Linked DNA regions of Caenorhabditis elegans. The protein of the gene in region 3 purifies or fractionates together with the protein of the main gene of each other region. This does not show direct contact. Each region holds a gene or a part of one and is shown on either strand. Other genes may lie near its edges.

Region 1 (6,389 bases), on a different chromosome or scaffold from region 3:
TTGGCACAGTACACTTTCGATTGTAAAGTTCAAAGCTGACGACCTTAATTTGAATTTTCTCTAAAATCGACACGACAATATCGATGAAAACTATTTTGTTTTCCTTGTGTGCCGACTTTTCAATTCCATGGAGCATCCTCGGGAAAGCTTCCACGTTGGACGGGAGTCCGTAGAAAATATACTGTAAATATGTTGATTGCTTTCTAATTACTGATTTTTAGAGGTTATACCGAGTCCGCGAGTGGCAAATCAACTTCATCAAATGCATTGTAGCTGCAAACTGCGAGTCCATTGCGATGGAACTTTGTCTTTTCTTGAATCCCACCATCGGGCATTTCTGTCAGAAACATAGACGATTCCATTCTCTGCTTGTTCAGCGTCAGCTTAATCTTGCGAGAATCGTCGTGCTCACAGAGGATAATCGTTGTCTCTAGAAAAGAACTAGATTTTTAATTTTAAAAAATGGTTTAAATACCTTTTCGTCCAATATAATCGCGAATCGCATCGAATTTTTGTTGAACGGACGAATTATCGGCTTCCGCCATCTTGTGAACTTCCATCTGGAGTCCAGAATCAAAAGTGTCGCTGTTCTGCGACATACTTCCCGTCTATTAATCTGTAAAACTGCAAAATAAATAAAGTATTCGAAAAATCATCAAAAATGATTATTTAAAATAGGTCATATAAGATATTGAAAGATAAATTGAATGAAGCTGTAACCATAGGATTCAAAACAAGAAATATGAAACACGAATTCAAAAAACATTGTATGTTACAAAAAAAAACAAAATACAAAAAGTTTAAAACCAGTAAAATTAAGAATCGTGTGAATGGGACGGAAAGAAACAAATAAATCAGCACAAAGATGGGGAAAATAATTTTTGAGAAGTTGGAAGAAAAATACATATTTAAACAGGAACAGCTGATGTTGCAGTTGCAACAGCTGCAGTTGTTCTCGATTGTCGATCCGCCAGGTATTTTTGGTAAAGATCGCGGAACCACGTGGGCGCTCGTGTTTTGTTGCATTCGAGAAACTGAAAAATTATCATGATTGTTTGAATCTTTCGATTTTGAGAAAGAAAAAGAACCTTTAAATATTCGCGAACGAGGCGAAAGTCCTTATTCTGGTCGATAATCATGTATAACTTCAGTTTCACTCCAATAATCGAAGCGAGGTTCTGCAACTCCGTCTCCATAATTGTTTGAAAATATAGTGGATGCGGAGAATCAAACATAACGATAGTGTCGACGGCGCCTCGGTGAACAGCGCGAATTGATCTCCAGTCGATCACAAGCACATCGAGATTACCCGTGCGAAACTCAAAGTTTCGTTTTTCCACATCTTCTTCGGAGTCGCATCTGCAAAAAAATAAATATGGAATAAAAAGGACACTATTTAGAATTGAACATACGTTGTAATTTTATGAATATTATAACGAAGGTTCACAGCTAAAGTTTGCATTTTCAGCCTCAGGTACATCATCACACGAATACATGTTTCCGTCGTTCGTGTTATGACGAGAATGCGTTCACGGCGGGGTTCTGAGAAAAATTTTATACCGAGTTTATAGTTCATATCAACTCACTGTCTCTCCGTCCAGATCTACCGTTATCTGCCGCTCTTGCATCTCTTTCTTTTTTGATCAACATGGTTAGTATCTTCAGTTTTTGTGTTGATTCGGTCAAATATTGCTGAAAGAATGAAAGATTAATTCAAAATTTAGACTCAGTAGTTACCGAGACAATTGCGGGACTTATATTATTATTCTCAAGTGTGCTCTCCTGGGTCGGAAGTAGACTAGCAATTTCACTGATAGGACGTACCAACTTGCATTCGATATTGGAAAATACATCACGAACTCTGGAAACATTCTAAGAATAGCACAAATTTTGCGAATATTGCTCGAACCTCGGATTATCAGCTTCAATGAGCACAGGTCTTTCCATTTTACCTTTGCAAAACTCGAGTGTTTCGGTTAACGAGGCAACTGAACTTGAGAAATGATACGCGAAGATGAATCGTGTCAAAGAACTTTCAAAAGTTTGAGCGAGACGTCCGAGTGAGTCGGCAAACTCACTGTTCCCCTTCAACTTCTCGGCATTATTAATGATAACAAAACGTAGAACAGATATAAAATCATCCAACTGTTCCATTTCATTCTTCAGCTTATCGATATACTCTTTGATTTTTTTGAATGAACCAATGAAAACTCTAGATCTATTCGATGTCATGAATTCATTTGACAGCTCAGTTGTGTCTAGATTTGTTATATGTGTATTTGGACGAGTGGAATTAGAACTTCTTCTCTTGTTGAGTAGGCCTCTCATTACAGATTTCGAGCGTTTACCGTCTGTAGTTATAATAATGCATCGCGGAAACGGTTTCTGAAATTAGAATCAGTTATCACTTCCACTAGCTTGGCTAACCCTATGCGAACGAAATCTGTCGATGGAGTGCAAGATGGGTTGTCCGTAGTAAAACTCGTGATTTGGGCCTGAATGAATGCAAAACAAATGTTCGCCGTTGTGAAAACGCCCGAGACTGCAATATAAAGCATCTTGCAATGTTCTCCATGGACTGTAGCCTCGGCGGCCACTGAAAATATGAATGTATTTTCAGAATTAACGACGGGATCGAATGACCTGATTGAAAACTTCATCAGCTTCCTCGTTATTTGCAGCGACCCGGTTTCAGACGATCTCACATACGCTACTTCTTCAAAGTATTAATTTCGATGGTATCTTTAGTATGATATTTCAAACCTTCTCTTGAAGCTGCCGGTCCCCACTCTGGGTTATGCGCTCGAGCCTGGAAAACATGAAATAATTGCAGTCATTCATTAATCTCAACTTCTTTGACCGAAAAACATGATCTCCTTGCATTGCCCAATCCATCAAGATCAAAAGCATTCACGACACCTGAAATGAATAAAATAAATATCCCATTTAGCTCATCAAAAATTGTCACCCATGCTACATATGCCGATTCCATTGGAGTTATCCATTTCTTTGATACTTATCTAAATACTTCCATTCAAATCCTGTTATTTAAACCCGTGCGCGATATCTGAACAACTCCGGAGTGTTTTTCAATGCTCGACTCGCTCCAGCAATCGATAAACAGAATGGGAATCGGTTTCGCTGCGTTCAAAACATCGGCCGGAATATTCTGGTTTCTGAGACAACGAAACGTGAAACATCTATCAAGTTTTCAACCTTTTTTCGAAGCCATGATTAGTATCATAATTTAAAACCTGTTTTTTTGCTTGACGTTTTTGCATATTTCAATCAAAACCACCTTTCATATCGCTTTGATTTTCAATTTTAGAACAAAGCCCCGCCTACAATTGCCTGATTTCGTTCTACGCGAGCTGTTTGCTTGCGAATCGATAAAGTGTCGGTTGTGTGGCAAGTGCGCTCCACTGTGCAGGTCTCGCAGCGATTGCCATTTTCCACCGTAGTTCCCTCCAATGTCTTCTCCATTTTCGTAATTTTTTGGTTCGCCCAAATTTTTTTTCGTCATTTTTTGCCTGAAATGTTCGTTTCTTCTCAATTTTTCTTGGATTTTAAGAGTAGATTTGAGAATAGTGGATGATTCTAGTCGATTCAGATCGACTGGAGCGTGATTTAAATCCATGACTCTAAGTGAAATGGGATAATTCTCAATCTTACTCGGCTCTCCCACGGCTGAGGTATGTATTTTTCGTAATTTCGCTTTTCGTTTTTGTTAAATAATCGATTTTTGTAGTATGGGACGTCCAGAGTTCAATCGTGGCGGCGGCGGCGGAGGTAAACTGAATTTCAGGATTTTTTCGTATTATAAATATTATTTTTCAGGTTTCCGAGGTGGACGCGGTGGAGACCGTGGTGGTAGCAGAGGTGGATTTGGAGGCGGTGGTCGTGGAGGATATGGCGGAGGTGATCGTGGCAGTTTCGGTGGAGGTGATCGCGGAGGCTTCAGAGGAGGACGCGGAGGTGGAGACCGCGGTGGTTTCCGTGGAGGAAGAGGCGGTGGTGATCGGTTTGTGTTTTATAATTCTGTTCGCCATCAAAACGATAATTTTTCAGAGGTGGTTTTGGTGGCCGTGGATCACCAAGAGGAGGATTCGGAGGACGTGGATCTCCAAGAGGCGGAAGAGGATCACCACGTGGTGGACGCGGAGGAGCCGGTGGAATGCGAGGAGGAAAGACTGTCGTTGTCGAACCACATCGTCTCGGTGGAGTATTCATCGTGAAAGGAAAGGAAGATGCTCTTGCCACAAAGAACATGGTTGTGGGAGAGTCCGTGTACGGAGAGAAGAGAGTGTCCGTCGATGACGGAGCTGGCTCAATCGAGTACCGTGTGTGGAATCCATTCCGTTCTAAGCTCGCTGCTTCCATCATGGGAGGATTGGAGAACACTCACATCAAGCCAGGAACCAAACTTCTCTATCTCGGAGCTGCTTCTGGAACTACTGTTTCCCATTGTTCTGACGTCGTTGGACCAGAAGGAATCGTTTATGCTGTTGAGTTCTCTCACAGATCTGGACGTGACCTTTTGGGAGTTGCCAAGAAGAGACCAAACGTTGTCCCAATTGTCGAAGATGCCAGACATCCACACAAGTACCGCATGCTTGTCGGTAAGTATTAAATTTAAGCATTTTTGTGTTTAATATTTATATTACAGGAATGGTCGATGTCATCTTTTCTGATGTTGCTCAGCCAGATCAAGCTCGTATTGTTGCTCTCAATGCCCAAAACTTCCTTCGCAACGGTGGACATGCCGTCATCTCTATCAAAGCTAATTGCATTGACAGTACTGCTGAGCCCGAGGCTGTATTTGCTGGTGAAGTCAACAAGCTGAAGGAGGAGAAGTTCAAGCCACTTGAGCAGGTAACCCTGGAGCCGTATGAGAGAGACCACGCTGTCGTGGTTGCTGTCTACCGCCCAGTCAAGGGAAAGAAGGTCTGATCTCCAAAATCATCGTTACATTTTTTTGTTTTGTTATTTTGTTACATGTATACCTCCATCTTGATCGTTAACACTTGTTTTACTTGTTTCCCAATAAAATGTTGTTGATGCTGTCATGTTAGGGATGTTTTACTTTTATCTTTACTTGGTTCTCAACCTTGCCGATATTTCTATTCTACTTTAATTGTAACCTTTATTTTGTTCTTTGTTTAATATATTATTACAGGGTAATGACGTCTACCGTGCAATCGGTTCAGACCTTCGGGCGCAAGAAGACTGCCACCGCTGTCGCTCACTGCAAAAAGGGACAAGGACTTATCAAGGTCAACGGTCGCCCACTTGAGTTCTTGGAGCCACAGATCCTGCGCATCAAGCTTCAGGTTTTTGTTCCGACATTAAATTCCAACTAACTTGTATTTTTCAGGAGCCACTTCTCCTCGTCGGAAAGGAACGCTTCCAGGATGTCGACATCAGAATCCGTGTTAGCGGTGGAGGACACGTTGCCCAGATCTACGCTGTCCGTCAAGCCCTTGCCAAGGCTCTCGTTGCCTACTACCACAAGTACGTTGACGAGCAGAGCAAGAGAGAATTGAAGAACATCTTCGCCGCTTACGACAAGTCCCTTTTGGTTGCTGACCCAAGACGCCGTGAGTCCAAGAAGTTCGGTGGACCAGGAGCCCGCGCTCGCTACCAGAAGTCTTACCGTTAAATTCTTTTTGTTGCACAATAAAATTGTTATTGAAAAAAAAGATTTATGAGATCGAATTTAAAAAGATTTAGAAAGTGAAGCTGAGCAAAAGCATATCAAGGACAAAAATGAATAGTATTCCGGCGATGAGGTCCAATCTTGAGTGTTTAGTTTTTCTCGTGTAGGCAACTTCGAATTGTTGTATTGGTTTAGAGCTTAAAATTCAATCTTATTCTGGTATGGTATAGAAACACTCACCAAATGCACTCAGTTTGAACTTCGCTGATTCCCGTTCCGTTTATTGTACACGTTGATCTCTTCTGCCGAGCACGACTACATCGAAAATCACAACATGAGTTGAACATTTCACATGACGAATAGTCTGCCTGAAATATTGGCAGAATTTTTTCAGGATGAGCTAAACATTTCAAACCTTTGATATGCATTCCTGCGTGTAGACTTTTAAGGATGCTTCAGTGTTTGATACTAAACATGGAATCAGGCAGGCTGGAATAATGATGGCAGTTATTCGCATTATAAAATATCTGAAATTAAGATATGCTCCTTCTGCTAGACTGGATATAAATTGAGAAAGTAAATCTACAGAGAGATTGCAGTGGAGTCAATGTTTGAGCAGAGTTCAGCATACAACAATCGCTAATTTGACAGTTTTCTCTGCTTCTTTCAATTGTGAACTAGTATTGAGCTAGATTGAAAAACCAATTAATCAATTTTTCAGGAACTGCAATCA
Region 2 (7,126 bases), on a different chromosome or scaffold from region 3:
ATAAAACTAGGTGCCGTATCATCTTGATTTGTGAATGACTTTATCTTTTTTAATGTATTTCCGAAGATGTGCTCATTTGAATTAATACTTTACTCGACTAATAACATTTGCAATCCCGCGAAAGAGAATATCCGATTGATAAAAAGTTGAAGGCAACCAAGTATTATAATTAGTTCAACAATTATATTATAGGAATACTAAAATCTGAGAATGCGCATAGTGCAACATATGTCTGCAGACAGATCTGACGCTCAAAATATCTCGTACACAATTATTCAAATGACGACCCGAGCACTGATGTAGATTTACGGCGCTGAACTTTCGAATTTATTTTACGAATTGTGACAGCGGTACGGTAGCTGCCAAGTATCGGTTGTTTCGAGACCCGCTACCGTATTTGTGGTTCAAAACTAAAAATTAGGGTCCCTCATTGAATGAAAAGAAGCCTACTTTGAAAATCTTCATTCTTGCATCAATAATCTCAAACTTCAGTGATTTTTGCTTATTTTCCGGAACATCTTCCGATGATGTTGTATCTCCCATCTTAAAAAAAGATTTTTATATCTAATAATTCAAATTTATGAAAAAAAAAAGAATTTAAAATTGTAGAGCCTTGCGAAATGAACATGTTAATCACTTTTCTCAAAAATTGGAGAAAGTTTTGAATTTAAAGAAGAGTCACTATTAAACTAAACATTTAAAATAAGCACGAAAAATTCATTTACAAAAGTAAAGAAGAATCAATTGAATGTGTTCCCGCTCTTCCACCTCTCTCTCATCCTGCGTTTCTTTCTTTTCTATGACTCTATTTACGACCTAGAATATATCGATCGTCGTAGCGCGATGTAGCGGTGCATCTCAGGAAAATAACAAATAAACAACAAAATATTCATTTGAAATGAATAATGCCAGATGAGGCAAAAATATTAACAGAATAAGTATTGAATATTAAAAACCGTTGAACAGGGAGAATAAAACTAGATAAACTTAGAACTATTACCGGGACGAGGTGATATTACATGCAGGACACAAAATGTGGATAGGAAAAAATAAGAAAAATGGTACAAGTTTAAAACGAGAAGGGGAACGGGATTTCGAATTCAACATTCCTGGCTGGTGCTCTCCGACGCTTGATTGCCACGACCATCACAAGCCACCGTACCGCATTCTCCACACACATAGAAGCTGAGATTTCGACGCTTGAACTCGTCATCAGGCACTTTGTGGATTCGAACTTCAATTCCATCTGGCAGATTGGTGTGAAGTGCAGTTTGTCGCCTAAATAAAGCCAAATTAGGTTTTAATAATATTAAAGGATAAATTTCTTACGTAATATGTAGGCATCCTGTGGGAACAGTTGCCACGATCCACTTGCTTGTTGGAGATGGTCGCGACATTTCCACTTTTACTCCGTCGTAGTCGTCTGGATTGATATGAAGCATACGATTCCACCATTCTATAAGTAAAAATAAATTTCCATGTTGACCGCAAGCGAGAAATAAACTAACCTTCCAGTGGAAATTCGCTCATATCCGCACGATAAACATTTTGCACATGGATGACACAGTATTGGTGCAAGAAATGTAAAACTGGTCCGGGGAATTTAATTTGAAGCCGAGAATTGCATTCAGTGCATCGAGGATATACGTCTTCCGGACGAATATCTACGTTGAACAGGTCGAAAAACTCAATAAGCTGATCTACGGGAGACATGTTATTGAGTTCCGGAATTGCAATTGTATAATTATCATAATCCATTTTCAAGGCTTCGTAACTTTTCGATGGCACTGTGATTATATGACGTAGATGCTCGCCGCCAACTCGTTCAATTTCCTTCAGGTACTTTCGGAAGTCGCTCACGTCTTTTGGAAGAATAACATCAATTCCAACTCTCCTGAAATAAAAATTTTCAACTTTAACATTTTTTAAAGATAAACTTCAAACCTCAGATTCTTTCCAAATCCAATCAGCATTGTGTCAACAATAACTTTAATGTCGTGTGGTCGCTGTGGTGATCTCGTAGGATTACGATGGCTTCGCAAGATATCGTAGAGCTCAAGCCATGGAATAGTTTTCAGCTTGCGGTACGATTTGTGTCCTTTGTCTTTTTTCGGAGCCATTACATTTGATTCTCTGACAATCTTCTCGATATCTGCGTCCTTGTTTTTCTCCTCTACAATCGACAAGATTTTCTTGAATGTTTCCACCACGACAACTGCGTCCAATGCTGCGTACACAATTTGTTTTTTTCGCAGAGGACGACATTGCCAGTTACTGCATTGTTCAGTTTTGTCGAGCTCCAATCCCAGTAGATAATGTGTCAAATCTGCCAATTTGAAAGTCTTCTTTGGCAGCTCTAAAATTTCCATGTCGATATCGCAAACATTCTCTGCTAATCGCTTCAGATCGAATGCATTTTTGGTATCTTCTATCTTCATGGATGACTTCAGTGCTGGGATTGTAGCCATTGCATCCAGATCGTTCCTCATATCAAATCCTACGACTTTTACAGGAGAATCTCCGAACAATCGAGATGCGAACTTTTGCCACCAGTCATCTGCCATATTTGCCTTTTCTAATTCTACGCAATCCACAAGCCATACACAATTTTTGAAGAACAATTGTATGATAGCAATTTTCGAGTCACTGAAAATCGGTGCATATGGAATTTTAAGAATGAAATTGTTCACTTACTGAACAGCTGTAAGATTCGACGGTTTCCACTCAGAATCGAATCCAACGTAAACAGGTGCTGGCTCGTCGCTTAGTGATTTGATCTCGGAACATAAGTAATTCATCTCAGATTCAGTTTTCACCATGTGGATTTGAGTTCTTCGCTCATTCTCAAATACGAATAATTGTTCGCCATTTAGAGGAACTTGCAGTGTTCTGAACAAAAATGGTTTTAAAAAAGTCGAAGAAATCGAAAACAATTACTTTCTTCTCACTAGAAGTTCTTTTGCTTCTCTGAGCTTCGAATCAGGTTGTCGAAAGAAGTCCCTCATAACATTCGGCAGTTGATAGCTGCTGGAACTAGCGATTCCTAAGTAGATAGCAAAGCAGATGGCATCTATTCTGAAAATTGAATTTTAGAAAGAAAAATCTTTTTGAATGTCACTTACTGTTTCTCGGTGTCATTTGAGCTCCACAAGTAAAACAAAATAGGTTCACGAACATCTTCGGCTTTGGTAAAAGTTTCAACCATATGCTGGAAATAGTTGTCATCGGATTTTCCCTTCTCGTATCGTTCACTGATATTAAACTTCAATGCCTTCAGATTCCCATTCTGTGAGTGGTTTTTGGCGAACTTCGACAATTCCCTGGAGAAGTTGTATTCGTGAGTATTTTTGTTGATAATCGTCGAAATGAGTTTGTCCAACGTTTTTCCCGTCAATTTCTCCATAGGAATCGTCATAATTTTGGTTTCCTTGTAGGGTTTCAGCATCTCTTCAACGGCAACCACTGAGATTCCAACCATTCGATCAAAAAACTCTACAAGCTGCTGTTGCATCCTCTCATTGTTACTTATCAATTTATAAGCCGTTTGATCTTTGCCAGATAGCATTAATGGAAGAACAAGATGTTCGAAATGATGATCCCGTAGAAGATTGTACTGAATAGCCATATCTGCAGCAACGGAGAAGTCTTGTTTCTTGATGGCAGCATCTAGCAACTGTGTAATGTCCTCAGTGAATTTCTCTTTGGTGATATCGAAGATTTCACTGAGAAGCTGCTTTTGTCCAATTGTGCACACATCTAAGGCGTTTATTTGAATAGTTCCAGTCAGATATTTCTGTCTGAGCTCCGTCTCCTGTCCCGACTCTTTTAACCAAACTCCAAAATCCTCCAGATACCAAACCGCCAAACTTTGTCCCGATGTTTTTCCTCTATCCGGCATCGCTTTCATCATATCCACAGCCATTCCGTAGATGTTGACTCCTTTAAATGTATAGATTATGAATGAGGGTTTTTTAAAGTTTTTAATAATAAAAGAACTTTAAAATGTTTACCTGATCTATAGTCCTCGTTGAAAAATTCTCGATTTTTGGCTCGAACTTTTCTCTCCCGCTCAGACTCGGGTCCATTCATAATTGCTTTCAGAACTTCCCGGCGTGACTTCAACGGTTCGGCGTAGTCTGTTCGATATTTTGCCTTTTTCTCGGCTTTCGTTAGCTTTCTTTTGTACGGTTCTTCTTCCATTTTCGAAACGGACAAGCTTGATTCTGTAAAAAGTATAAATAAATATTTGTCGAAAAGTTAGTACAAAAGAAATTAATCAAAGAACAAGGAAAACGTGTTTCCCCACGAGAATTCGTATTACGGAGAGGAAAATCTAGAAACGGCCCAAAAACCGAAAGAACAACAGAAAAGCGTTGTGGATTATTCGATATCCAGCACTTTTTGCACAAATTGAGGCAAAAATAATGGAAAAAGAACCAAGAAATCAATGAACAAAATGGAAAATGAATTTTTAAAAAATTGTCGATGGTATTTAAGATGTGCAGGTTAGCGAATAGTACTGTATCACGGCGGCGATTCAAATGATCTACGAAGCAATTACACGAGGAAAATTAATGGAGATTATGGAGCAAATTGAGGGAATTAATTATAGTATAAAAGTTTCGAAAAGGAAAATTATTATTTATTATCCTATTTAGTTCGCCACACAATGGGAGATTTTAGATGCGTAAATAGTTGAGAGTAGAAAGTAAACTGACTGACTCAAAAAATATGTTTAAAATGTTTATTCGAGATTGAGAAAATAAATTAAATTTCACGAAACCTTTTAAATACATAAGTAAAAAAATGTTTTGTTTTTAAATTTGCCACTATCAAAACTGTCTAACTCTCTAACTCTTATCTTCTCTGCGTAACGATAGAGCGCGTTTACATCATTATTTTTTCATTAAATTTTTTCTATAAATATTTCTTCTTTCTACGACAAACGTTCTCCATTATTGTTTTTGCAGACTTTTTCCATCTAACATGGTTCAAGAAAGCATTATTTCATCTTTCCGTGGAAAACTTGAAAACGATCCAAGCAAATCAACGAGTCTAGCCACAGTGGAAACACTGCTCGAGGTTTTAGACCGGAGTCGCGGTAAGTTCCTGAATTTGAATATTTAGGCAATTAATTTTTTGCTTAATTACAGCCACCACCGTTGCCGAATTTCAAAATGAGCTAAATCAAGTAGTTGCTGCTCTCGAGAAAACGGACTACAGCTCAACATCAATTCGAAGTGCCGCTGATTTGTTCACCAGATTCACTTCTCTGGCTCCAGCTGCTCTTCTCGATCAAGAAGATTTTTCTCAAGTTCTTGATCTGTATCGCCAACGAGCACGCTCATTTATAAAGAATGTCAGAGGTTCTCGAGCCAAAATTTCCAAGTGCGCTCGTCTATTTTTCACTCATCATATGGTACGTTTTTTTTTCTATTTAAATAATTCCTATTTAATGTATTTTAATCTTTGTATTTTCTAGAATATTCTGACACACTCATACAGCAAAGTGGTTCTGGAAACTATTCTTGATGCTCACAAAAGTGGATATCACCTTCATGTCTGGGTCACCGAATCGCAACCGGATGCTTCAGGAAAACTAGTGTTTGAAGAATTGAAAAAGAATGGAGTTCCAACTACTTTAGTTCTAGATAGCTGTGTGGGGTGAGTGGAAATTATAAAAAACAATAAGAAAAACGTATATACATTTTTTATTTTTTAAGATATGTCATGGAAAGAATTCAAGCAGTTCTAGTTGGCGCTGAAGGAGTCATGGAAACCGGTGGAATCATCAATAAAATTGGAACTGTTAATGTTTGTATCATCGCAAAATCACGGCATGTTCCCGTCTATGTTTGCGCTGAAACTATCAAGTTTGTACGGGAGTTCCCACTCAACCAGGCCGATATTCCCCAAGAATTCAAAGTAATCAATTTATATCAAATAACTCAATCAGATCTTTCATTATTTCAGTATCGAACATCAGTAATTGAGAGAAACAACCTAGAATTGGAGCATCCCGATGTGGATTACACCGCACCCGAATTTCTGACACTGATCATTACTGATGTCGGCGCAATGAAGCCTGAAGCTGTTGGAGAAGAACTCATTAAAATGTATATCTGAGGGTAGAAATTTATTTGAACGTGTATTTAATTCAATCAAATTAAATTAATTTGTTCTTGTTTTGTTTTTTATAATTATGATTGGTTTTTTTCTTTTACAAAAATAAAAAATAACGTGGAACCCAAAACTATTCATTTCGAGTTTTTAAAAACGCTCATTCATCAAAAAGATGAGTGAAAAGCACTTTATTTTGCCATCTAGCATGCTAATGATAGTTTCGGCTGTCTTCGGAGGTATCGGAATCATCACTACAATCGTGTTCGTGATTCTGACAGTTCTTCATTCAAAAAGTGCGGTTTGTAAACCTGCAGGTTAGTTTTTGTTGCGAAATTGTGCAATTTTTACCCAGAAAGTACGGTTCCCGGTCTCGACGCTACAATTGTTAAATTCTGAAAGGTGTGTGCCTTTAAAGTGTACTGTACTTCGAATTTTTAGACTTTTATTAGTTTTTCGATATTTAAATATTTATTTATTTATCTGAAACTATGAAAAATCGATGCAAATTCCATAACAACGAAAATCTGAAATTACAGTACTCTTTAAAGGCGCACACCTCTTTGGATCTATCAAAAACTTTGCCGTATCGAGACCGGGTATCGTATTAGCATGACGAAAATCGCAAAATTATCTGGATAATATAGTAATGCTGAAGAATAAAAATTTGCACATTTTCAGGCAAAGAAGACATGAAAAAACTGAACGGTATCGAAGGAATGCAAACGATCAAAGAAGAATGTGGAGGATCAACTGAAACATCCTCGTCGAAACCGAAGAAAAAAGCCAAGAAAGAAGTCTGATTTTTTTTTTTTGAATAAATTTTAAATTTCTTCGTGAAGACCTTTTCTACGTTCTTTTAATTTATAAAATAGACAACACTTTTAACTTGATTTCCTACTCATTTCGTTAAATTCAAATCTAGCAAAAGGGTTATACGGTTACAAATCTTTGTAAAGTAGAAATATGCTTTTGAACAAACTCATTGTGGCAAATATTGTGAGTT
Region 3 (9,305 bases):
AGTGACGACGTGGTTTGATGATCCTTCAGATACAGAGCTTTTGGATATTCTTCCATCTTTGGAGCACTTAAACGGGGTTTGGATTTAATTTTTTTTTTGAAAACTATTTATTGGCCAAAATTTTCTATGAGAATTAATTGGGCAAGTTTTTGTTAAGAAAAAGTGACTGAATACTGAATATACTGGAAATTCAAAATTATTTTGAAAAACTCTTTCAAAATCGCCTAATTTAAAAGTAAAAATAACATTTTTCAGTTCTCAAGCATCTATGATCTGTATCGACCAGAAGAAGGACCACAATCCGAGCTTCTGAATCACTGCTCTTGCTAATTAATACGTCATATCATAAATTCACAAAGTAGCTGTTTTCTTGTTCGAGACGTCGTCGTAGCTCAAATCACAAAAGTACTATAATTGCCTTTTCCCAAATAAAAATCCAAATCTTTCCGAAATAAATTCGAATGAAAATACATATCCACTCAGGATTCCCCACTCTCTTCCCATTTTCTCTCAGATTTCTAATTGGATTTTTTCTGTCCCACTTGCCCTTCTTTGTTTTCCTTTTTTACCAGTTAAATTCTCCACAGTCCCCCCCCCCCCCCCCCCCATCGCATCATCATCATTCTCATCCGAATTGTGATCTTTTAATATCAAATTATTGCCCCTTATTAGTGTTTCCAAAAAAGAAAAATTTTAGTTTCAAAACCGTCGTAGTGTGTATCCTTTTTTGGACAACATTTTTCTCCAAAATAGTTTCACCAAAATTTGCAAAATTTGTCATTTTGTGTTTTCTTGTATTTTTCCCCTACGTAGTTGCACTTTGTCATTCGTTTTAGTATAATTATGCTGTAAATACGAGCTATTTTCTCTTTTTGAATCTAATATTTCTGAAATTCCAAAGAAAAGGAAAACAGTAATTAGATTCAAAAAGTTGCCAATTCTGAAGCAATCACCCCCAAATACTGAAAACGTGCATCCCTCATCCTCCATCCAGTGCCTTCGTTCCAATTTTCAACCCGAGTTTTCCCTTCATCCCTTTCCCAGAGACACGTATCCCTGTTTTGAATTGTCACCGTCACCACCAATATTCGTGCAGTATTATTATTATCAGTTGACTCCCGGTTCTTCTACTTTTTATAAATATTAAAACACAAATTTGGACTCGTAAAAATATTAATTAGGAAAGTTTGGCGATTCAAGTATGAAAAAACAGGTAATAATCAGTAGGCAGTCAATAAGAACGAAAATTAAAAAAAAAAAACATGGGTTTAGAAAAAATGAAAAAATTGAGACGAGTGGGTGAATACAAATAAAAATGGAACAGTAATAGGAACAAGTAAATTCTTAGTTTCGGATATCATCTTTCAAAACGACATACGGCTCAATGTCACCTCTTTCCACTATAGCAACCGATGAAGAATCTCTAATATATTGGACAATATCAATGTACCGAGGAATAGCAGGACGTCTGCTCACTTCTGTTCTCAGTTCTTGTACCTGAAAATAATTCACTTTTAACGAAAACCTTTTCATTAAAAAAACTTAACATAAAATTGGTACAGTTACTCTAATCAAGAAGTCTTTTTGAAAGAAAAAACATGGCATTTTTCGAAGTAAAAAGCTTGTTTTAATTATACGAAAATATAGTGTAGAGATGATTTGAAAATACTCTTTATTTTTAAAGATTTTTTTCGTATGTGTCAATCAAATTTTCTCGTAATACTTTTTATATAATTACTAATATCACATCGTAGAACAAATTGAAACTTTCAACGAAAATTACTACTTACTGTCAATACTGTCAAGTTCATGCTTCGATAACGGAGAATTATATCTCTCAATTCCTTCTCAATTCCATCTTGAAATATTAATTCCCTGTTCGATGGCTGACGATTCGAAGAGAGAACACTAAAAGATCTTTGAGCTTCCGGTTGATGGTTTGATTGTCCTCCGTTTTTATTAAAGTACGGCGCAGAATTTCCGTTAAAATTGTCATATCCTTGTGGTTGTGACTGATGAGGCATATGACTTCCGTGATGGTCAAATTGATGTGGATTTTGACTGTATCCGACTGTCATTCGATCTCTTTCATAATCAGCAAGTTTGAAGTTTCCGTGTGGATCGTATTCTGGAGGATTTGGTGGAAACTGATCAGGTGATCTTCTTCTTTGTGATGAATGATCTTCATGATAAACTGATCTACTGCCATAATGATTGAATTGTGGATTACATCCATAATTTGGATCGGAAGAAGTCGGACCCTGATTCGGATTGTACGAATTTTGATATCCATTTTGATTGATATGAGGTTGATTGCTCATATGTGATGGTTGTTGGCCAACGTGATTATAAGCAGGTTGTGGCACTTGAGAATAATTAAATGGAGAAGGACCATGTTGAGGGTTGTTCTGAATTGAATTGTATGGTGGATACTGTGGTGCCGGTTGTTGATAGATTGGTTGCTGCTGATTAACTGGCGGATACTGTTGGCCGTGCATCGGTTGGTGGATTGGCCTGAAAAATGTTAGTTTTGTGAATTTTTCTGTTTTTTTTTCTCAATTTTAGCAAAAAAGGATATGTCTTTTGCTTGCATGAAAACCCCAAGACTACAATTATTACGCGAATTGTTTTACATTACTTTTAAAGATGGTCAAATAATATCAAATTTCTTGAAAATATTGTCAAATTTATGAATTTATTAACCGAAAAAGAGTTTTTTTATTTCGGAAATTTTTGCGAAATCTTATCAAAAAATTCGATTTGGGTCCATTTGAGCGTTCTTTATTTAACTTTTGGAATGAATTTTTAAGTATAATCCTTACTGTTGATGATGTATTGGTTGAGGCGCATATTGATGTGGTTGAGGTTGTTGTACAGGAAGCTGTGGCTGATATGTTGGCTGTTGAGGGATATATGGTGCACCCGGATGAGAGTTTTGATACTGAAAAGATAATGATTATGACTTCAAACTTGTAGGATTTGAGAAAAAAACGAACATGGTTAAAGAAATATGGTTCAAATACCCAACGCATCACTTCGAAAAGTTTCTGACTGTGTTGGACAATAAATTAATGGAAAAGATCTTCAGTCTTTTAAAAGAATGTCCCAATTCTTGTTCACGTGAACAATACTGTTTTCTTTCAGTTTTTCTGTTAATTTTTTCTGTCTTCCAGAGAACTCAATAAATTATAATTTCACATTTCTCTCAACTTTATCCGAACTGTGAAGCAAAACTATTTCGAAAACAGCAAAAATAGATCGAAAATGTAATCATGTGAACAATTTTTCGCAAATTTTCAAATATTTGTTGTAGATACACAGTCAAAGTTCTCAAGACTACGGTCATTAAAATTGGATCACTATGAAATTTCAGTGGTACAGAAATGCACGGAGGCATTAGATTTTTCTAACAATTTTTTCTAACGTAAGTGTGGATAGAATGTTTAGACTTAAAATATTATTAAAAATGAAATTACCACAGCTGTTTGCATTGGTTGATTGGCTGGTTGACTTTGGTTGACTGGTGGTGGTGCTGGATGTGATGGCAGTCTGCAATAATTTTTTTGGTAATTGAAAGATTAAATTTTAAAGCTAGGAACCTTCTGTTGATGAAACCATTGGCTGAAGGTCGTTCTTTCAAAAGCGGATTCCGTACAGGCTCTGAAACTGATTTTAGGCTATTAAGACGAGTCCTAAACTGCTTAAAATACCTTTTGGCGCAACTTTAATCGGTTTGTGCGTATCCGCTGGTGTGAAAGGAAGTTGAACATTGCGTCTATCCTCGTCGTGATTCGATTTAGAGTAGAAATTTCCGACTTCTCTGAGTGGAGCTGGATTCTCAGGTGGAACGACGACTTCAGGACGTGTCGAAACAGGGATTGACGGTGCTGCGGTCGTAGAAGACGATTCTACTACTGGAGTCGGGAGAGCTACATTCACAGTGTCAACTGGAGGTGTATTGGAAGTGTCAGTAGCAGATGATTCTGATTTTTTCTTGTACGTATTGAATCGAGTCTCAACTGAAATAGATTTTCATAAATTTAATAGTTCAAATTGGTGATTTTGGAAAATTTTTGTAAGGCGGAATATCGTTGGTGTTTGAAAGTTCAAAAATTTAAAATAGTCTCAAGTTCAGAAATACCACAATAGAAAAATGAAAAAAAACGAAGCATCATCCCCATTCACTAAACTCCGCTTTGGAAATGATAAAATTCGTACTTTTCGAAGGAGGTTGCTGCTTAGACTTCGTGTGCTTCTCACGACTTCTTAGTTCTCTTTCCTGTTTCTTTTTAAGTTTATCCTTTCTTCTTTGACGCTTAATCTCCTTTTGCTCGGGATCTTCATCAGAGTAGGATCCTTCAGAAGTGATTTCACTATCTGATGTCGTATCACCGACATCTTGAACACGCTCACCACGATCTCCATATGAAGGACCACGGTTACCATTGGTGATTGTGCTTCTGCTAAGAGCTGGTGCTCCACCAAATGGATTCGGAATCGCGGATCGTTGAGGGGCTCCGGACGAAGTGCCTTGGCCCATTAGTGGATCTGTTTCCATCACACGATTGACTGGAGAAGTGGGTGCACGTGGAGGACGAGATGTTGACCGATCAGTATTTCGATTAAAGTGCGATGAAGTTGTTGGTTGCTGAAAATCACATAAATTTCATTTCTATATTGCACACAAAGAATTTTGTGAATAATGAATGTTTTTTTTATCGCACTCACCAACGATCCATCATCATCTGCATTGTTAGAAATGCCCCCAGCAAAAGTCGATGGTTGATAATTCGGATCTGGTACAATTACATTTCTGCGTTGTTGTGGACCACGACGATCATCTAGAAAAGAAAGATTTTTAGATAATCACAAAAAATGCAATGTACCTGATCTCTGTCCACCGGCCCTATAATTGCCTTGGCTTCCGTAGTTCTGATTTCTCTGATTGCCGGTTTTCCATTTGTTCCTAACATCCGCAATATGTTCATCAGTGAAAAGAACAACTGGTCCTGAATGAACAAACGTTGAAAATAAATCGAAAATATTTTTAGTTACTCACGGTTTCCTTCATCGTCAGCTCTAAAATAGAGTTCTACAGTTTTGCCGTTGGCTTGTGAAACCACAATTTCAGAAAATCTTGCAGTTGTTAGAAACTTCTTCAGTGTTCCTCGATTTGTATACTCTTTGAACCAATCATTATTCCACAGTTTTTCTGGATCGAGTTGAAGAATATCCTTATATTTTCGAAAAATATTCGCATGTGCCGCACCAGTAACCATATTTGTATAAGCAGTTGAAAGAATTTGATATTTAACTGAACGAATGCTATATTCATTTCTGACAGCCATTAACAATTCCGCAATCATGTTGAATGTGAGTAGAGTACGAATTTCCTTCTCTTCGGATTCAAATGTATCTGCTTCCTTTTTCTTCCTTTCCTGGCGTTTGTGCCTGCAAATTTTATACGCCATTTCGAGGAAACACCACCGATCGAAGAGACTGTGTTTTTTTTGTGGTGATTTGGCAAGGAGAGCTCAGAAATATTTAACTTATATATTTTTTTTTTTTGTACTGAAATATTTTCTTAATTTCTCTCGTGAATCGGCACAATAGTCATTCGATTAAAAAAAATGGAATTTGAGCAATTTCGCTATTGATTTTGAAAAAATATGTTCAAAACAAGAATAAAATAATTCAAATTCGATTATTCCATGAACATAGGGAATTATATCGATTTACGAGAGCAATTATGACGGGGTTTCAGTGCAAAAAACAAATTAATTGCTGTTTTTAACAATAATTCACATAAAAATTTCCACAAAAAAAGCCTGTAATAGCGTCTCTCTGATCGCCGGTGCCTTATTTCGAGTCGTTCAGAGCTTTTCGTGACAAAAAAAACGCACTGTTCTTCGGATCCATTCATCAACGAAACAACAGTCTCACGTTCTGAATCGGAAATGACTGGAAAGAATGCGCCCTCTTTGGACTGCAGCCAACCTCCTCGTACAAGTGCATGGGCGTGTTCGGTCTGAAAACAATTAAGTTATAGTCTCCCTATGCACATTGTAATTTACCTTGGAATCGTTTGGAAGCTGAGAAATAATTTCTGGAGGAAGCAATAAAACAGCTGTTACTTGAAGACTGTATCCCATACAAGATTTCAAACAATCATCCAATTCATCCGAGGAGTATCCAGAACGGAATTTCAATGGATTGCTCAGCAATGAAGAGCTCAGGAACAGCTGAAGATCACGCTAAACCATTAGGTCACGAGATCATATAAGTATTTAAATACCTTCATGATTTCTGGATTACTTGCATCGCTGAAATCATAATCGGCGTTATCATTTCTTCCGATGACGTTTTGTATAAGATTGTCCGGTATCGTTTCTGGTGGAGGTTCATCCATATTGTCATTCTGAATCAGAAAATAAAATTGAAATATACGAACACGAATCTTACCGCATAGTAGGCATCCACGTCAAAGTCATCGTCTCCTGAATCCAAATAACTATCGTAGTCATGTTCACCCGATGAATTTCCATAGCTATTAGTGTCATCTTCAGTTCGATTTTGCATGGGAGTTTCTTCACGATCAGTTTCCGTATACGAGGCGGGTGGTGGACCAACAACGATCCCCAATGGATCGATATATTGATCGGAGATGTCTAATTCCGGATAATCATCATCACTTTCGGACATTTTCTGCAAATATCGAGTATTTGAGTGGGTTGAAACGTTTGAACGGCAATAAATGAGAAGTAAACGATAATTTGCTAGAGGCATTAAAGAAAACTTTCTATTCCAGGAAGTATTACGATTCTGGGACAAACAAGCGAAATTTGTAATAAGGTCTCTCAATAATATATATAATAGCTAAAACTTCAAGTCGTGCACTGTTGCGTTAATTCATTTCATTTTGAGCCGATAAGTCTGCAATAAACAATAATCATAGATTATAAAGATTTTTAACAGTTAATATTTTGTTTTGTTTTTGAATTCGGAAGCTTGTTCTTCAATTTCCAGTGCTTGAGATTTAAATGAAATTCGATCTGGAAGGCAATTTTGAAACAAACTGATTGGAAAACTGTTTAAATGGTTTTTTCAATTGAAATAATGATAAAAAATGTTAAGGAGCAATAAAACGCGTTCTAAATATTCGATCGGCAAGCAGATGATTGACGGTTATTCATTGAAACGTCGATAGAGCGCGATTGCATTGCGTTCAGGAAAAGTTGAATTTCTATCGAAAACAAGTATTAGAATTGAAGAAAACGTTTTGAAACTAAAAAATCATCTAAATCGGCATGTTTTTTAAACTAATGAACAGTCGCTTCATTAAAACATAACAGAAATTTGTTTGTATACGATAAACTGGCTTTTAAAATTGAAAAATATATATATAAAATCAAATTCACCGGCACATTTTCTCAAACCGATCGACAAAAAAGTACTTTAATTTTCCGAAAGAACTATTATGAAAGTGTATCGGTAAATAGTTTATTTTTAGGCCACAAAAGGATCAATTAACATGTTAATTAACACCTTCTGTTTCGAATTTTATCGCTTTTTAGTAATTTTTTGAATAGCTAAACAATAATTACTTTGAAAACGAAAAGAAATAACGAATATGGTGAAGTAAATCGCAGTTTTAAAAGTTGAAAAGGAGAAAATACATTTTTCAAATACAACTCAAACAAAGCGGCGCTTCTACTACGGTCACACTCATTTCACGTGTATGATTTCAAATTAAATCGTATGTAGTTTTAAAATTTGGTTAAGATTTCAGATTTAAATATTTGAAAGCTTTAATAAAAAATTATTGAAGACCATATATAATTTTTGAAGGCTATAAACCTTAATTTTTAACGAAAATATTAGAAAAAAGTTTCAAAGCATTAAAATTAATTTCGCGTCGGGACCAGACGCGCACTCACCACAATGTTCCTTAATCAAAATTAGTTTCTGTATCGGCGGGAAAATTGAAAATTCATTTTGAGCATCGCATAATCTCACTCACCATATACATTCAACGACTAATCGAGTGAATAAATCGATCGGAAAGGACATTTACAAGTTTATCTGAGCGAATTATGACCGAAAATCCTATGGAAAGTGCATTAAAAAAACTTTTTCCAGTGAAATATAAACAAAAATTAGCTGAAAAATACATATAAGAAACTAGTTGAAAAAAGGTTGGTACCATTGATCCTTGGCCCCAAGATACACCCCATTTTGTCTACTGGATCCTTTGTCACTTTGGACACTTTGTCTCCAAAGAACCTACGTCACCCAAAAGTTTGCAATCTAGGAATGAACAGTGAAATTTTAAAGCATTTTTATTTCAAAATGATTGGAATTTGTATCAGGGATTTGTGAGCGAACAGCTTAGAACTGATTCCACGTCGAAAAAACCGATCAGTCATGCAATGTTAACAGTATTTTATTTTTTATTCTAACAATACAATCTGTGACTATGTTGAGATCGTCCAATAACAGTTGAGCAGAGGTTTCTTCTTATCCAGAAGAAAGCTTCTAACTTGCTATCGGCAAATCGCTTCATAGCACATTCACAGACTTTGCGAAGATTTTCAATCTCCCCCATTCGTACATTCATCGTATATTCTTGTAATTTCCTAGTTAAAGACGAAGTAAGAGAATTAGCGTTAAATGTACGAAGCGGATCTGGCGCCGTCGGGGTATTATAGTCGTATTTTAGGGTTGCGGCTGGTTAGCTATAAAAATTACCCAAATACGAAATCCAAAAATTTGTAAACATCGAAAAATAATATTCAGATACAAAATGGAAGAACTCGATTGTACAGATGGATATGATATTGAGAGAAATGATGGACAACTTGCAACCTTGGTATTCATCGAATTTTGTGTCGAACTCGTCATTTGGAAAAGTGATAATTTACATTAAATTTTTATGAGATATCTCAGTATATGAAATTTGGTTTTTTCGGGAAAGTTTCAATACATTTGAGTGTAACAACCACAAATTCTACTCCTCCGTTAATTACCTCCTCTTATTGCATGTTTGGGTCTTTTTTGTTTTTTTTTTCATTCATGTTTTTTTTGTGACAGACAAATAAAATATGCAAAGGAAATCTGTTTCGAATCGTTTTATTAGACACTTGAAGCTTATTACACCCCTGTTGAGAACACGGAAAGAAACATAGGAAGTCGACGGCAGAAAAACACAGAAAAAGGAAAAAGAACATCTGGAAGTGATTTAATAAGCGGAAAGCATAAGATGTGCAGAATGACGGCAAGATGGAAGCAAATCAATGAAATGTGGA
Region 4 (9,065 bases), 2.4 Mb from region 3:
TCCCATGATCACTCTTCTGACGTCACCGGCTCTTCCAAACAGCTCATAGACTTGGTCTTCTTTAGTGTAATATGATAAATTTCCAACATAAAGTGTACATGATGTGCGTAGAGCAGTCTCCTGGTCTCGAACGGTTCCCTGAAATTGAGAACTACAAATTTGAATTCGTATTGTGCAACAACACCTTTTATTCGATAAAAACCCGAAAAGTTGTTAAAACAAAAGGCTTACCTGGTATCTTTGATCTCTGTAAGCACTAATTTCCTTAGGATTATCCAATGTTCTTGGATCGAAGACCATTTTAAAAGAAAGAACGAAGAAACAGACACACTCTTCAGCGAACAAAATTCGAAAAGAGAACGGAGTGTCGTAGCGCGTGTTGTTTAACTGAAACCCGAGGTTATTTGAATTTGGATTTTATCAACCCTCATTTAGCAGATATTGGATAACGAAATAACATTGGGAATATCGATTACGAAACGAAAATCTAAAATAAATAAATGTTTTATACCACGGAGAAAATATTTTAAAATTATTAATCAATCATTTGATGATGGAATTGGTCAGTTTACACACAAATACAAATGGTAGAAGGAATTAAAAATAAATAAAACAGAAAAAATAGTACAAGGTTTGAAAATGTAAGTGAAGAAAAAACATTAACAGAGTCTATGGCATATTTCAACAAAAATACGAGATTAAAATTCACCATTCATAACTTTTTGATAGCAAAGAGATGCCATCTGTTGTGATACTTCTTCTCCTTCCCAATGACTTTTGATTGGAATTGTAACTGCTGAAAGCTTTTTGAGCATTTGAATTGATTCGAGAGTTCCGGAGACGGAGACGATGTAACGAACTGAAAACAATTATTTTATGCTACCAATATGAAGAGTTTTTAATTACCTGTAGTCTTTGGTTTCGCCTTATCGTTTATCGGATTTTTCTCCTGTCGCCGCATCTTTACAGTTGAAACATTTGTGTGTTTCTTCATATTATTGATCAGATCATTCACATTTATATTTTCTAAATGAAAAAAAACTCAATTTTTTTTATTTCCAAAAGATTTTACATACCGGGTAACTCGATAACAAATGGTTCACACTCTCGATCCATCGTCTCAGCTGTAATTGTTGGATCAGATGATACTGGAAGCTCTTCAAAACGTAGATTAAACAGAATATTGTAGTAGGTTTTGAGAGCTGATTCATGGAATATTCGCCATTCTCCACGCATAAAAATCGATGAGAAGTTGAGAGGACAAAAGGATAAAGTCGACATTTTTCTGAACTTCCGACATCCCATAAATTGGAAGAATTTGACCATCTGAAAAAAATACACAATTCGGCTTTGAATTTCTCGCCAATGTTGGACTACAAATCATACAGCTGAATGGACTTATGTCAACTTTGATGAATCGAAAATTCAAGTTTTTTTTGTTTTATATTCGGTAAAATTTCAACTTTTCTACAATTTCCTATAATTTCTCTATATATTTCAATGAATTTTTTATTTTTGTTATCAAAATATAGATGTTTATAGACAAAATTCAAAGGTTTCTCTTCTTTTTTCATACTTTTTCGAAGAAATCGAAAAATCGACGATGTTCGATGACCCCCTTATTCCTTACCATATCTGATCTTTTTTTTTCAGTAAGTGGATCGATATTGCCTCTCGATGAATCTCTTTTCTGTTTCTCATATTCTTCTTTTTCAATTATTTTGAAAAACGGTTCTGCATTTCCATCAGCAGATGCCAATTGTCGTGTTGCAAAAAGAATGAACATGAGGAAAAAGTGATAAATCTTGATTGGTTTTCCATCAAACAATCGTAATGATTCTCCCCATCGCATTAACATGAAGAACACAGAGTCCAACCCTGGTATCATCTCCAGATATATTTTCAGAATGGAAATCGCTTCTTTTGATTTTTCACCGGTAATTAGATGATCGAGTTCACAGAAGTTCTTGAAATCCGCATCGTGATCAATCAAATATTGTTTTCGATGCTCTTCTAGGAAAGTGTACATGGGATTTGCTCCACCAATCTGCATTCTTTCGTTATTCAATACATTAGTCTCCTTGACTTTGGCAATGACGTCATATGCAATCCAAGCAAATGAAAGCTTCCGAACTTCTCTCGTGGATTGAGCACACTCTACAAAGAAATTACAATAGTTCAAAAAATTGAAACAAAAAAATTGAATTACCGTAACAAGCTCGATACCAGGCAACAGCTTTCTTTCTGACCTCCTGATCTGGATCTTCGCAACGGTAATTGAGACAGTTGCCGTTATCGTAAGCATTTGGTAAAAGTGTACATTTTACTGTGAATCCACCAAATTCCTGATAATGGCATAGAAATTAAAAAATAAATAAATATTGAAATAAACTGTACCTCGAAGAACGTTTCTCTGAATTTGCACACTAAAGATGTCATTTTTGTTTCAATCATTTGATTAGTGTTGTAGAATGACATATCATCTTGGTCTTTATCCGAAATTCGATTTCTCATTTCGACAATGCATCCTGACATGATTTCACCTTCCGACCGGATACCGTAGTTTTCCATAATAGACTGTAAAATTTGGGTATTTAAACTTTACTCAGCCTTCAAACTAACCCTGAGTTGTCCGTTGTAACTGGATAATTGTTTTTGAGCACTTTCCATATATCTCTCAAAACCAGTAACAAAGATAGTCTCATCCAGTTCAATATTATATTGTTCATCCCTTTCTTCAGAGATCTTGATAACATTGTCAATTGCTTGAAACTCTCGGAATAGTTTTCCACAAAGCCTTGGACTGACATACATCGGACTTCGTTCATTTCCCATATGAAAGTCAGGAATTCGCTCAGGATTTTCAGGAGGGATAACTTCGAATGTTACGGGATCTGAAAATAGGTAGTTACACCATATTCATGAATACGCATACGTACCGGCCCTCCATTTCGTTTCCAATGGATCTGGTGGTTGTCCAGACTTTGTGAAATCAACAGCTTGGCAATTCTTCTTTGCCAAATCCATACAAACTCTCGAATTCAGCCCATATTGGTCAGAATTGTGAAGATGACTGTTCGAGATTTGTCCAACGGAGTCTAATTTCAGATATGTGACATAAAACTCACGCATCAAGACGTCCTAAATTTGATATTACACCAAAGTTTAAAAAAAAAATGAACAAAAAAAAACTAACAAGCTTCTCTCTATCATATGGTACTTTAATCTTTTCAACAGCAAAATCGAAAGGTTCTTCATTTCTTTCAAGAAGTAATTCCTGATCCCAAATAACAGAATATTCATCTCCATCCAAATCGGATCCAGCCATTTCATCAGGATGAGGCCTCGGTCCATGTTGTGGGAATACTACTACATCACACATGTGATGAAGTTCTGGAATATCGACAGCCTCGAAAATCCGAACATCTCCGGGGACAATACAAGGGTTTTTAGTGAGCAAAACGGTTCCTGTGACAATCTCACTTCCATGAACTTTATTGTTGGAATCTCGCGGTGGAAGTTTTTTCTTGTAATTTTTCGTGTATTGAACGAAGATTTGTCCGTATTGTAAACGTCCAGTTTCATCAACTACTCCGAGCATAGATCGACCAAGTTCACTGGGAATTTGAATTTGCTCTTTGCAAAGCTGTTTCGCTGAAAATAATAAAATTGAGAAATTGAAAACAATTCGGAAAACTCACTGATTGAGAACTTGATGGATGCCTTGATTAGGGAACGGAAGAATGGCTCACTAGACAATGTAAATCCCCACATTGTTCTCAAGTTATCAATATCAATACGACGTGGAAACTCCTGAAAGAGTTCCAAATAAAAAGTTTCATTATTTCATGTTTCAGACAAACCTTTAATTTGTTTCTACAAAAGGTCTCCTCATTCATCTGTTTGGCAAATGACAAGATCTGACGATCCATCAATTCCTCAATTCTGCTCGTAATTCTTTTATGACAATCCAACGATTGCATTTCGGAAACTTGATCAAGAATATTGATGAATGGTTTATTGAGAGCAACCAATACCGCTGACGAGAACTTTACCATTTCGATTTGGTCTCCCGAAATAGCCTTAGCTTGGAATTTAATTTGACTTGGACGGAACAAACATTTCGCCATTTTCATCGAAGTAACACCGTTCACAAGTGCCCATTTACGAATTTCATCCAGAAAGGGTTCAATAGCGATGACTCCTTTATTTCCGCGGAATCGAATCTGCAAAAACTATAGTTACCTAAGTTCACACGAAATTAATTTACCTGGAAGCAGCTAGGAACAGCTTTTCCAAATTGCATCGCTTGGGATACTTCCTGTGCAAATTGATAGCTCATCATTCCAACTCCGTCAGAAAATGTATACTCGCTTCCGTTTGTCGCTCGTCCACCAGTCAAATCGTACGTGCTACAGTAATCATCTCGTCCAAGTCCGACACCGGTTAGCTGAAATTCATACTTGTATTATGATGGAAAGTTATCACTAAAAAATCCATGAAACTGAATAAAAATTAAAAACATACCCTGCTCTGAGTGAAGCATTGACCCAATCTCGCCATCAACTTAGGAACATTTTCAATTTCCGAGAATCTTCCTAATTGAAATCGAACTTCGTCGATTTTCGGCTTGAAGTTTATATTCGATGCTGTCGGATTACATTTGTAGAAGCGATCAAGCTGCTTGTCTGTGAATCTCATCATGAAATATGCTCCATTGTCTCTCATTTGTGAATTTGAGCATCCCAAGAAACCATATTCACGATTTGCAATTCGAACTCCGTGCTCCAAATACTTGTTCGCCGTCCTGTCGAGAAGTTTACCCGTAACATTTGATCTCATTTTCTTATTATTATCATCTCGAAATGTTACTCTAAGCACCCGGGTGCCATCTTTATCGAATTTCCGTAGAACTCGATTTCCCATGATCGTCTCTGGTGCAATGTAGATGACTCTCGTAGGTGTGAAGATAACTTTTCGAACTCGTTGATATCCTTCTATGCTCTCCTTTTCTGTTAAACCATTAACCAGTTTCATAACCTCACGTTTTTGGCAAATTTTATCTAGGCACTGAAAAATTTTTAAAAAAATTATCAAAAAATATGCAAAAAACACAACCTTCAAAATTGATCCGATTCGCTTTCTACCATCAATTAAATGAACGAGATCTTCCAAGGCAGCTTCACACAGTTGATTATCATTCCTGTAGTACCAAATGATAATTTCCAGGAAATTTTTCCAATGTTGCTCATTCAGTAGTAGTTGATCTTTCACAATAGCTCCCCGTGACAACAGACATTCAATCAAATATGTGATAGAAAACTTCCGTTCCTCATTAACATCAATCAATTTATCATCTACTATTTCATATTTCGGTGGGAATATCTGCAAAAATTGATACTCAGATTATTGAGGCAATTCTTTGTTTTTTTAAAGACTAACTCACCTCTTTCAGAAACTCTCTAAAAATGGGCGCATTTGAGTCGGTCGGCGATTTCTTCAAATTCCACCGGTTGTATGGATAGTGACTGCCCATCGGAACATCAATGCTCGGAAGATTCGCAAATTCAATCAGAACTTTGGTTCGAGACCTCAGACGAGACAACACACGATACATTTCTTTTGTCTGAATTAGAGAATAATAATAATAAAAAACGATGCTTAATCATCAAAATCTATCATAAAACAGTAGAAAATAGCTCACTGATATTTCTTTATGGAACTCAATTGTGAAGAAAGGACTATCTGCGATGGCAGCATCTTGTGGATTACCATGATTAACATTTCCATTTCTCCAATCACAATCGAACCGTTTCTGACGCTCATAGAAGGGTTTATGAAACGATGACTAAACAATTAGAATTGTTATAAAAATCTGTGATCAATATTAAATTACCTTATCATTATCAATATATCCTTTCCTGATGAGTGGGGGACAATTAACTTCAAAATGAACACATGTGTTGCATCCTTCAACTCGTGGATCGACAATAATTCGACGAATTGAATCCCTTCGAATCTGAATTTTTGAATTTAATTAAATTTTAAGAAATTCTCCCAGTATTGGATTTGATAGCTACAGCTAAACACTTACTGTTAATTGATAGTTCACTCGAACTTTTTGTTTCCTCGAATCCTCAAACTTCTGTTTCTTCTCCTCGAAACATTGAAATTGTACTGTTATCATATCAGTTTTATCGAATTCAAATTCGGCGTGTATCTTATGCAACATATCTCTTGACGATATGTTTTCGCGTGAAAATGAAACCTGCCAATGATTGAAATATGTGCCTCCTTGTATATTTCCAAAATAAATCGCAGCAAGTGGAATCTCTGTGTGACAATCGAGAGTTCTCAACCAAAAATCGGAACCATGAAGGACAATGTTAGGCCGCTGATACGGAACGTACACATTCTGAAAATAAAATTAATTCGAAATCGTCCAATATGAATTCAAGTACTCACCAAATCTGATAAATAATCGTGCATAGCATCTATAATTGTGTGATCAAACTGTTCGCTCTCAACTTCAAAGTTTATTTCAAAGAAGCAATCGCAGTCCTGTTCTTCAACAATTTGAGTTTCTTGACGGGATTTGATTTCGATTTCGTATTTACGAAGAACCTAGAAATATCATAATAATTATTAAAACAAGCGTCATTTTTTTAATCGAAAAATGTCCAAAAAATGAATTAAAATTCTCAAAACCATGACGCACTGAAGTAAATGTCAGTAACATTGTATCGATACTTCCTTCGATGACTTGAAGCGAGTTATCGAATTCCGGAAATTCAAATTTAATGAATCCATGACTTCGTTCCGACATGACGAGGAGTCTGAAAAATTTTATACAGATAAATTTTAATGGCCAACGCACGAAAAACAAGGTTTTATGGAAGACAAACAAAAATAAAGATTTTTTAAATTTGCCATCGATCAATTGGATATTTAAATTTTTACTGTTATACAACTAAAAATAACTATAAATTAGGTTCTCATTAACCTTCACTTTGAAATTTACAAAAACATTTTTTGAAAGTTAACAACCCGCTGAAATGCAAAAATCGGTTCACTGAAAAAGACGCTGCCCGTCGGAGACGCAGACAGCTGAAAAAGACACTGTGGTGACAATGCAACAGTGAGCAAGTATCGTGATTATTATTCCGTAATTTTATTTACGGAAACTCATTTAAAACTATTTTCTAATAATAAAGAAATTTAATTTCATCTCGGAAAATTGAGCACCTTTAAAAAGTTGTATATTTAAAATGTTTTAAAATTTTTCTGATCAAAAACAACTGCATTTCAAAAATGTTGATTTCAGTCGAGAAGGAAAAAAGTTCGATAGTTTGGTCCAAAATTCAAACAAAATCGACAGCATTTCAATTTTTCAAGAAATCTGGCTATATTCTATCCAATAGGAAAATCATGTACGAAAAAACGCATATAACAAATAAAATACAAATATCGGATTCGTAATAAAACAGACAATTCATTGAAACAGATAACCGAAACGCTGAAAACGATGAAAAGAAGGAGAAACCTATCCATTTCAATCAATCAGCAAAAGAAACAACAGGAAAATATAATGAGAAAAAGAAACAGAAATAAGCATGCCAATTAAAACATGCAAAAAAAAAACAGAAAAATAAAATTTAAAATGAAAACCATATTAAACATTTAAAATCTCTGAAAACACTGCTAAAAACGAATAAGAGAAACATTCTAGATGTTGATGTGTCCTCTGACAATCTTTTCATAGCACAATCGAGCCATCTGTGTAGACACATCTTGTCCCGTTACGTACGTTTTGATGGGAACTTTTACAGCAACCAGTTGACGCAACTTGTACATTGACTCGAGAGTTCCACGTGTAGAAACCAGAAGACGCACTATAATAATTTGAAAATTAAATCTGTTTACCATTCGATTTTGTTAACTCACTATTGATTTTTTGCACATCATCCGAAGAGCGAACTGATTTCTCCATGTTTCGCATGAATATCTCTTTTACACCAGTATGCTCTACCAGCTTGCGATGAACCAATGAACGATCACAATTGGCTGGTAATTCAATCACGAACGGTTCGTTTTCTCGAATTATTGAACGAACTGTAGTTGTTGGATCAGTTGACACAGGAAGTTCTTCGAATCGTAAATTGAATAACACGTTGTAGTAGGTTTTGAGTGCGGCCAAATGGAAAATTTGCCATTCTCCTCGCATGAAAATTGATGAGAAATCAAGAGCACAGAATGAGAGATTCGCCATTTTTCGGAACTTTCGCGAGGCCAAAAATTCGAGAAACTTCACCATCTGAAAACAGTCATTATTATAAAAAAAATAACACAAATATTCTTCTCACCATCTGACTTTTTCCTTTTTCCTCAATATATAAACTGGGCTCAAAGTCTCCAATTGTTTTACTCTGCTTGTAACTTTTCTCATCGACCTTATTGAAGAACTTGGCAGCATTTCCATCAACGGAAGAAAATTGCCTTGTAGCAAACAGGATAAATAGCAGTGATAAATGATATTCTCGAAGTGATTGATTTTCAAATAGATTTGAAATCCGTGCCCATTCGTCTAACATGAATAAGACTGCATCCAATCCTGGATAAGTTTCTGTGTACATTTTGATGATTCTATGAGCTCGTTTCACTTGTTCTCCACTAGTTTTAGGTGTTGAAAATTGTCGAAAAGCTTCGAATTTTCTCGAGTTATCGACAAGATACTGAGATCTGTGGTCGTCAAGCATTGTGTACAATGGATTTGCTCCACCCATCTTAACTTCGTCACTTGTAAGACTTTTGTCTTGTTTCACTTTTGCGATGACGTCATATGCGAGCCAAGCGAACGACAATTTCTTGTTTTCTCGAGTTATTCGAGCTTCCTCTGAAATTAAAATAGTATTTATTTTTATTTCAAGTTATCCAACTAACCATAGCAAGCTCTGTACCAAGCTACGGCCTTTTTCATCATCTGCACTGTCGGAGCACGACATTGTCGTTGAAGAATATTACTATCACGTCCGTAACGAGAGAATGCTTCTGTGTTACCTTCCCAG

The links.
Region 1: the proteins of mut-16 (region 3) and mut-15 purify together in Caenorhabditis elegans (affinity purification with western blotting; 2 studies listed by BioGRID, with this or other methods). This does not show direct contact.
Region 2: the proteins of mut-16 (region 3) and mut-7 purify together in Caenorhabditis elegans (affinity purification with western blotting; 2 studies listed by BioGRID, with this or other methods). This does not show direct contact.
Region 4: the proteins of mut-16 (region 3) and rrf-1 purify together in Caenorhabditis elegans (affinity purification with western blotting; 2 studies listed by BioGRID, with this or other methods). This does not show direct contact.

The regions. Positions count from the first base shown.
Region 1 is NC_003283.11:14,999,329-15,005,717, reverse strand, and holds mut-15 (MUTator), read right to left. Parts: upstream 3,176-6,389; 5' UTR 3,006-3,175; coding exon 2,969-3,005; intron 2,920-2,968; coding exon 2,852-2,919; intron 2,810-2,851; coding exon 2,764-2,809; intron 2,717-2,763; coding exon 2,644-2,716; intron 2,597-2,643; coding exon 2,428-2,596; intron 2,386-2,427; coding exon 1,910-2,385; intron 1,862-1,909; coding exon 1,738-1,861; intron 1,693-1,737; coding exon 1,587-1,692; intron 1,543-1,586; coding exon 1,413-1,542; intron 1,360-1,412; coding exon 1,089-1,359; intron 1,035-1,088; coding exon 909-1,034; 3' UTR 651-908; downstream 1-650. Other genes in the region: Protein hrde-2, read right to left, coding at 1-181, 231-430, 476-599; fib-1 (rRNA 2'-O-methyltransferase fibrillarin), read left to right, coding at 3,750-3,789, 3,838-4,021, 4,069-4,619, 4,667-4,950; rps-16 (Small ribosomal subunit protein uS9), read left to right, coding at 5,181-5,330, 5,375-5,659; T01C3.11 (uncharacterized protein), read right to left, coding at 5,727-5,853, 5,897-6,024, 6,072-6,173.
Region 2 is NC_003281.10:9,538,156-9,545,281, forward strand, and holds mut-7 (Exonuclease mut-7), read right to left. Parts: upstream 4,226-7,126; 5' UTR 4,201-4,225; coding exon 4,011-4,200; intron 3,940-4,010; coding exon 3,123-3,939; intron 3,076-3,122; coding exon 2,938-3,075; intron 2,890-2,937; coding exon 2,695-2,889; intron 2,647-2,694; coding exon 1,945-2,646; intron 1,895-1,944; coding exon 1,509-1,894; intron 1,457-1,508; coding exon 1,330-1,456; intron 1,279-1,329; coding exon 1,101-1,278; 3' UTR 876-1,100; downstream 1-875. Other genes in the region: ZK1098.3 (uncharacterized protein), read right to left, coding at 451-543; eif-2Balpha (Translation initiation factor eIF2B subunit alpha), read left to right, coding at 4,987-5,101, 5,154-5,419, 5,483-5,664, 5,724-5,925, 5,974-6,126; ZK1098.9 (uncharacterized protein), read left to right, coding at 6,296-6,437, 6,802-6,923; ZK1098.12 (DUF2975 domain-containing protein), read left to right, coding at 7,087-7,119. UniProt on the Caenorhabditis elegans protein: Represses the transposition of Tc1, Tc3, Tc4, and Tc5, perhaps by degrading transposon-specific messages.
Region 3 is NC_003279.8:10,077,559-10,086,863, reverse strand, and holds mut-16 (MUTator), read right to left. Parts: upstream 6,706-9,305; 5' UTR 6,703-6,705; coding exon 6,463-6,702; intron 6,419-6,462; coding exon 6,296-6,418; intron 6,255-6,295; coding exon 6,075-6,254; intron 6,029-6,074; coding exon 5,904-6,028; intron 5,452-5,903; coding exon 5,060-5,451; intron 5,010-5,059; coding exon 4,887-5,009; intron 4,842-4,886; coding exon 4,729-4,841; intron 4,649-4,728; coding exon 4,219-4,648; intron 4,020-4,218; coding exon 3,711-4,019; intron 3,661-3,710; coding exon 3,600-3,660; intron 3,550-3,599; coding exon 3,477-3,549; intron 2,942-3,476; coding exon 2,823-2,941; intron 2,515-2,822; coding exon 1,791-2,514; intron 1,498-1,790; coding exon 1,345-1,497; 3' UTR 1,156-1,344; downstream 1-1,155. Other genes in the region: scpl-1 (CTD small phosphatase-like protein 1), read left to right, coding at 1-76, 256-330; B0379.1 (uncharacterized protein), read right to left, coding at 9,239-9,305.
Region 4 is NC_003279.8:7,642,942-7,652,006, forward strand, and holds rrf-1 (RNA-directed RNA polymerase), read right to left. Parts: upstream 6,837-9,065; 5' UTR 6,827-6,836; coding exon 6,719-6,826; intron 6,625-6,718; coding exon 6,466-6,624; intron 6,416-6,465; coding exon 6,095-6,415; intron 6,020-6,094; coding exon 5,897-6,019; intron 5,849-5,896; coding exon 5,705-5,848; intron 5,627-5,704; coding exon 5,447-5,626; intron 5,386-5,446; coding exon 5,119-5,385; intron 5,071-5,118; coding exon 4,528-5,070; intron 4,451-4,527; coding exon 4,271-4,450; intron 4,227-4,270; coding exon 3,864-4,226; intron 3,814-3,863; coding exon 3,702-3,813; intron 3,655-3,701; coding exon 3,197-3,654; intron 3,142-3,196; coding exon 2,940-3,141; intron 2,895-2,939; coding exon 2,623-2,894; intron 2,578-2,622; coding exon 2,398-2,577; intron 2,346-2,397; coding exon 2,210-2,345; intron 2,158-2,209; coding exon 1,631-2,157; intron 1,327-1,630; coding exon 1,077-1,326; intron 1,027-1,076; coding exon 907-1,026; intron 860-906; and 3 more. Other genes in the region: ncbp-2 (Nuclear cap-binding protein subunit 2), read right to left, coding at 1-138, 232-300; ego-1 (RNA-directed RNA polymerase), read right to left, coding at 7,726-7,892, 7,945-8,314, 8,364-8,893, 8,941-9,065.